Linked DNA regions of Caenorhabditis elegans. The protein of the gene in region 2 purifies or fractionates together with the protein of the main gene of each other region. This does not show direct contact. Each region holds a gene or a part of one and is shown on either strand. Other genes may lie near its edges. The genes, in order: ZK686.5 and col-138.

Region 1 (3,929 bases), on a different chromosome or scaffold from region 2:
TCAATTTCGCCAAGAAAACAAATTGATTAAAACTCACTGATTCATCATCCTCATTTCCGTTTGTTACTCTATTCATTTCTTGTTCAATTCCGTCTCCGTTTGCTGGCTCAATCTGAATATTTAATACAAATAAGTCAAATGTAAACTTTTTGTAAAATGAAAATACCTCATCATCGTTTTCCGTGTCGCTGTCTTCTTTTTGGTTTTTTCTTTTCATTATCTGGAGAAATTAAAATATGAACCAAAAAATGCGTTGAAAAAATAAGGACAGCGGAGAAAAATTAATATATAATAATAAGAACAGCGGAGAAAAATTGGTGTGCATTTACGATAAACAGCGCGCGTTGCGGGATTTCGGAGCGTTGCTATTTTTGCTCGCGATCGATTTTTAGAAAAAAAATTTAATTTATTCAATTGCATTCGTTCGAATATATTATACAAATAATAAATTCCATCGAATTCAATTGTTTTTAATAAATTAATTTTGCATTGTATTGTTTACTTAACTGTCAGTTGTTCAATGGGTTGTGTCTACTGCAGATATCAGAACAAATTTAAAGATATAATTCGAGTTTATTGAATAAAAAACGTATTAGAGTCTGCATAGGTCACAAAAAATTTTACACGAAATAAAAATAATCTACGAGTTCATGCCAATACTGCTTGGTTATCTCCGGAACCATGTGATACATCCCAGTGGGTTCTCAACGATTGCTTGTCCTTGAATTGTCTATCACAGAGCTCACATTGAACATAAATTTTAGCGTTCGGTCCGTAATGAGTTTTCATGTGCCGATTAAATTGAATTGTTTGAGAGAAGAGCTTCATGCATAGATGGCATTCGATATATGGAGTATTGTGAACTTTTCCGCGATGAAGAAGCAACATTTTAGAACTCGAGAAATTCTGCTCACAGAGCTCACAGTAGGTTGTTACAATTGTTTCTGTCACTTTCCGCTTCATCGCCTTCTCTCGATCCTGCTTCTCGTTCTAAAATACAATTTTTAATTTTTTTTTAATTTCAAAATTCACTCACATCAATGCCACAATTTGTTCGAACAATTCCTAAATCCATAAATAATTTTTTCTTAATATTTCTGATCTCTTCTGTATTTTTCCGTTTTCGGTCCTTGTAAGAATATGGTTTTCGAGTACTTGTATTATCTACATTTTTTCGTTTCTTGGCTGCAATATAGGATGATGCACTAGGAAATGATGACGAAGTAGAGCTGCGTACAAATATTCCAGCTACTGCCGCTGCTGAAAAATTTTGAAAATACTTTAAAAAAACTCCTAGACAATACCATTATCACCATCAAATTTCCGATCTGGTTGGATTATTGTGAAATCTGGCATTTCGGGAGCTTTTTCAACTGGGAATTCCTAAAATATTTTTAGGTTCAACGTATCTCCGATGAACAGAAAGAAACCTGGAAACAAGAGCATCCTACAGATTCATGGCTCATTAGTTCACAAAGCTCTTTTGTTGCTTTTAGAGTTTCACGATTCAACAAATATTCATTGTATATGCTGAAAATTCATTTCTCAACCAATCTGAAATCAGATTAAACTCACTGAAGTTTCTTTATATCATCCACAATTTCTATATCCAGATCGGTCATCGTTTCCACCACGACTGTCCATTGTCATTTCTTCACATGAAATCCAACTCATGAAACCACGTGAGATTTTTAGAAAATTCTGAACAAACTAGGGCATTTAGAGTTCACGATAGTATACTGAATAAATTAATATTTATCTTTTCTATTTAACTTAAATTACAATTCAATCCGGAATTTTGAGAGAAAAAGGAAGTACATAATATCACACAAACCCAACAACAAAAAGCTTCTTTGGAGAAGGGGAAAACACCTTCTAGTTTCGGTACAAGTAATTAAAAAACAGTAAACCTTTGGGGAGAGAGAGAGAGGAGATAATACAATAACTTATTAAATATTTAGAAATCTGGCAGGAAGAAACGTTTAGGCGAAGAGGAATGAGTATGGGTATCCACGATATTTGGAGCGGAAGACAGACAGAAGGAACGAGAAGAAGACGCAAATGCACACAAGTCCAGCGATTGCCAAAGCTGAAAATATGATATTATGATAGTTCTGGAACTTGCAATAATTATTACTGTTTGGAAAATACCTATTTATTATCTTCAAATTTTTTTAAAAATTTATTCAAACTTACTGTTTGTAGGGATATTCAACAAGGAAAGTGGGTTCAGCTTCTTTCCAGCATTCTTTCTATCTTTGCTGTTCGACTGGTCGGCTGCTTCATTGACACAAATGAATCCAATAGCGATCAAAGCATACAAAAGTCCGACGATGTAAGTTTCAGCGATGAGTTGGAATTGAGTGGATCCGTGAATGAATGATGGTTCTTTGGTGTTCGGGTTGGTAATCATGAATGGTGGTCCACGAATATGATTCCACATTTGTCCGGACATGAAGATGAAAGTGATAGCGAGGCAGACAAATCCCCACACAGTCCTATTGAAGAGGAAGTCCAAACTGTTTCTCTTCATGTACAACATTCCAAGGAGCAGTGCAACAAAAAGAGCAATTACGACTGGAGCAGTATAGTTTGGTGGGCGGATAACACGAACATGAACTTCTGTCTGATCTGCAACAAATCGTCCAATAGCATCAGCATCGAATCCTTGTCTCTGGAAGTCCATTTGCTCTGGACGCTTCTTGGCACCAAGCTTTGGTCCGAAATGGTAGAGAATAGGAGCTGTGTTGAGGTTCATTTGTTGGAAGATTTGTGGAGCATCTTCATAGTCAACAATTCCAAAGAATACTTTACGACGATCTCCCTCGGAGCTGGTGTAGCGGTGAGAGTTGGCGACAATCATGAATTCATCGTAGGCCGGTCTAGAAAACCAAATAATTAAAATTTGTACGTTGTATTATGAACGTTCTAAATATAATCATTATTTCGGGGAGAAATTTTACTTTAATTGTCCGATTGCTCCAATTAGAAGTTAACTTACTTGCAAATTGGGCATTGAACACCTGGGGAAAGTGCAGTGAACATGACAATCATTGAGTAATTTCTTGGTTGCATTCGAACAAGAGTCTTCCATTTGTCCATATTGAACTTGACTATGGACTGTCTTGAGGTGAGATCGACAAGGTTTTGAACTTTATCCTCGAGGGTTTGCTGCTGAGCCGACTCGTAGACGGCGAGCAGCATGAAGAACAGTAATACCATTGTTCTCATCTGAAAAATTGTGAAAATAAAAACAAGGAACAAATTACAGAGTATTCAGATAATAGTAATGCAGAAAATCGGAACTGCTTTGAAGACATAAATGAAAAAAAAACGTCAATGAATTTTATTATGTATAAAAATGAGATCATATTTTTGATAATCATCGTTTACTGGTGGAAAATCCAGAAAAGCCCATCATTGCGCGAATTTCAGGATCAAGTCCGCTATCGTCTTCGTCGTCGTCTTCTTCTTCATCTTTTCTGGTGTCCCTCTTTCGTTTTCTGTTGTCTGTTTTCTTGTCCTTTTTGAAATCAGCCATTCTCGCCTCTTCTTCTTGAACATCCTCTAGCAACTGTTCCACTTGTGCCTCTTTCTTTTCTCTTTCTTCTGAAACAATGCAAAGTTTAAATGAGCTGATTACTTTTTTTGAACTCACTTTTATCTTTCATTAATTTGAATCGTTCTCTGACATCAGCAACTGTGCTCTTTTTAGTTTTCATAGACATTCCGATGTTTCTTTGATGATTTTTTCCATTAATGTGATCCAAAAAGTTGATGGAATCTTTCACGACGCAATCGCAAACGTCACAATAGAATCCTCCAGTTTCCGCCGACGGCGTTGCCTTAGTGATGACTACAGATTTTCCAACTTTCGAATCCAAGTCGACCTTATATTCTCTCGCTTGTAACATCTCTCGTTTAACCTT
Region 2 (3,340 bases):
TTTAATCACGAGTCATTGGATAACCTGGCTAAATTTCTGGGATATTATGGCGAGTGAATTGAGAAATTAACGCTTTAAAAGCCACTTTTGTTTTAGGAGACGCCGTGCGAGATATGAAAAAAGAGTTGCGGAAGCGTCAGCGGGAGAGTGAACAGCTTTCGGAGAAGATTGATCATTTGGACAGACAATTGGATCAGCTAAGATGTCTGGCAGAGTATGATTCGATTAAGAGGTGGGAATTAACTGTACACGAGTGCAAGAAGCTTGAAACTCTAGAAGCCGACATCTTACGGGTGGTTTTTCTCCCACAAAGTGTCGGCTGCAAAAATTTCCACCGAGAGTAATTATTTGTTCGTCTTGCCAAAAATATCGCCAGTAAGGTTTCTTGTCTTATACTTAAAATGTTCGACTTAGCCACTCGTGAAATGTTTCTAATCTTTCCATTTAAACGTCGGCTGCTAAAATATAAAAATTCAAAAGAAAATTATGTCGTTTATACAAAATCGGTGCAAAACCCGAGTAGAACAAGAGGCAATAAGTTAGAAAATCCGCGAAACTCCTCCTTAATATCCTGGAGCAGTTCTTGGTGGTGGACAATGATCGCAGGATCCCTTTGGTCCGTCCTCTCCTGGCTTTCCTGGCTCTCCGTCGACTCCGTCCTTTCCTGGCTCTCCATCCTTTCCGTTTTGTCCTGGCTCTCCTTGTGGTCCTTGTCTTCCTGGCTGTCCTGGACGTCCATCTTGTCCGGCTTCTCCCTTTGGTCCTTGCTCTCCTGGCTCTCCTGGCTCTCCGACTGGCGATGCGACGGTACGCTGAACTCCTGGTGCTCCTGGTGCTCCAAGCTCTCCTGGCTCTCCATCGGCTCCGACTGGTCCGGCTGGTCCTGGAGCTCCCTTGTTTCCTGGACGGCCGGCTGGCCCTGGCTCTCCTGGTGCTCCGGACTCTCCGTCTGGTCCCTTTGGTCCTGGTGGTCCTGGTGGTCCAACTGGAGATGGCTCACACTCAAAGCAGAAATCGTCGGCGGTTGGGATCTGCTGGGCATCGGCATCCTTTCCGTTGACTCCAGGCTTTCCAGCCTTTCCGTCGGATCCTGGAGCTCCATCATCTCCCGGTGCTCCAACTGGTCCGGCGGTTCCAGTTCCGCAAGAGCAGCACTTCTCGTTGGTGGAACGCTTCTGGCGAAGGGTGGCCACAGCAGAGTCTCTGTAAGCGGCGAGCCGAGTGTACTCTCCGCGGAGAGAGTCTGTACGGGACTTGCAGAAAGTCAAATCGTCTTGAAGTCCAGATTGAATGTTCTGAAGGTAGAGGCAAAGCATTGGAACTGCCATGACCACTGTAAGAGTGGCGACCGTCGAGGCGGCGATTCCGAAGAAGGCGAATTTCTTGACAGACTGACGGTCCTCGTCCATGGTGGAAGGTTCTGGAAAAACCTGATGAGGGTGGGAGGGGTCAGGTCAGAAAATTAGAAAAAGAAAACTGAAAAAAGTTATCACTGTTTCAGAAATTTTTCAAAATTTTGAAGCTTTTGATTGTGAACTCTACTTGTACAATGTTACTTGTTGCATAATCAGGCCAAAAAATGGCAACCGACATTTTCTGGGTTTTCTAATTTCTGAATGGAGTAGATGACAAGCGCCTATTACTTTTTCAATGAAAAAAAAACGTACTGCTTCACTAATACGCCAAATTAAATTGTTAACTATCAATCAGTTTGTTGCTATAAACTTACTTAAATAATATTTTACATAATCACTGTTACATTAATTCTAAATAAATAGTTCCCTTCGATGCACGAAAGTACATCTTTCAAATTTAAAATGACTGATACAAATGCTAGAGTAACTCGAAAATCATTAAATCATTAAATTCAGTTGCTGAAACAGTAAAAAAATTTAAAGTAGAAAAACGCTTCCTTTTCTGCTTTTAACGAATTTTTCAAAATTGTTCCTTGTTTTAACGTATTGTTGAAAATGAAATAAAGTACTGCTACCAGTCATTTTTTTAAAGAAATCAACGATTTACTGAAGAATTTTTTTGGAAAAAAATTTACTGTTTCACTAACTGCACTTAAAAATAAATAATAAATAAATTTTCACTAACTGCACTAAAATTGCAACTTTTGATTCTAATGAATCCTCTGATTCTTTTCTGAAAAAAATTTAAAATTAATTATCAAGAAATCGAAAACCTGCATAATCAAAATTTTTGAGGAAAAAATTGAACTGTTGAAAAATTTTCCGAATTTTAATTTTTCTTATTAATTTTACAATTTTAGCGGTTCTCATTGAATAACTTCATAGAAACTAGACAAAATCGAAAATCGTATCGTCGTGGAATATTGCTGCAATAATGCAAATGTTTAAATGAACATACTGCAATAGTAATTATAATTAATCGAAAATTTTCCTAGTGAATGGATTTTTGAAAATGCTACTGTTTCACCAGTCTAACAAAAAAGTGTTCTCAACTTTTTAATTAAAAAAATGAATTTATGAATGCATTTTACTGTTTCTACCCGATATTCACTCAATAAAAATAAAATCAGAAAGCTTTATTCTAGTGAATATTTGAAATTGTTGAGACAATTCTACGTTTCAGTACTGTGACAGTAGCCCAAAAAACGGTTTCTTTACACAAATTGAACTAATGATTGTCAAATAAAAAAAAGTTACAAAAATTGTTACTGTTTCAATAATTTTATGAATTTGGAATAGTTTTCTCAAAAATATTCTGGCTAATGAAAAAAATGTTTCAATACTAAAACTTTTGAAAACTATTCATTCAGAAAAATTTTCACCGTTTTAATAATTCATCACAAGTTACGGAAAGGAAAACAATTTGGATGATTGCTGTTTCAGCAAACTTATGACTACACATTTGCTATAAAAACCTAGTGCACAATTGATGAAGGTGCTTCAATTAAAAAAAACTGTTTCAGCTGTAACAAGAATACATCTAAAGTAACCGCTAGAAAATCCAAAAAAATAAAATTAATGAAGAGGCTGGCTGGAATGTACTCACAAATCGTCCCATTTCATCTCTTTTATAACACGAAACATCTTCGTACTTGCTAAGCGATGCGCAATCCATTGAAAAAAAAGAGCCCCTCCTTCAGTTCCACCTTTTTCGGAAAGCTTTGGCGTCCCAGCGAGTGCAGAAAAAACTTTTGAACCTGTTTCGCTGCGGGGAGACTTCCTTGGCCACAAAAAAGTTGATATGAAGTGATATGTATGTGATAGGCCTGTTCTCATTATCATTATCATTCGGGGCGAGGGATTACTGAACTTTTTTTTGGTATAAATGGGGGGGGGGGGGGTAATAGGGTGGGGGTATGTTTAGA

What was found.
Region 1: the proteins of col-138 (region 2) and ZK686.5 fractionate together in Caenorhabditis elegans (co-fractionation; one large-scale study listed by BioGRID). This does not show direct contact.

What each region holds. Positions count from the first base shown.
Region 1 is NC_003281.10:7,765,833-7,769,761, forward strand, and holds ZK686.5 (Putative zinc finger protein ZK686.5), read right to left. Parts: upstream 1,684-3,929; 5' UTR 1,623-1,683; coding exon 1,576-1,622; intron 1,531-1,575; coding exon 1,431-1,530; intron 1,384-1,430; coding exon 1,305-1,383; intron 1,261-1,304; coding exon 1,037-1,260; intron 991-1,036; coding exon 649-990; 3' UTR 557-648; downstream 1-556. Other genes in the region: Putative ATP-dependent RNA helicase ZK686.2, read right to left, coding at 38-112, 167-217; ZK686.3 (putative dolichyl-diphosphooligosaccharide--protein glycosyltransferase subunit 3), read right to left, coding at 1,983-2,089, 2,197-2,882, 3,002-3,204; Putative zinc finger matrin-type protein snu-23, read right to left, coding at 3,383-3,609, 3,659-3,929.
Region 2 is NC_003282.8:17,182,321-17,185,660, forward strand, and holds col-138 (Nematode cuticle collagen N-terminal domain-containing protein), read right to left. Parts: upstream 1,410-3,340; coding exon 564-1,409; downstream 1-563. Other genes in the region: C52D10.3 (DUF4140 domain-containing protein), read left to right, coding at 1-49, 97-232.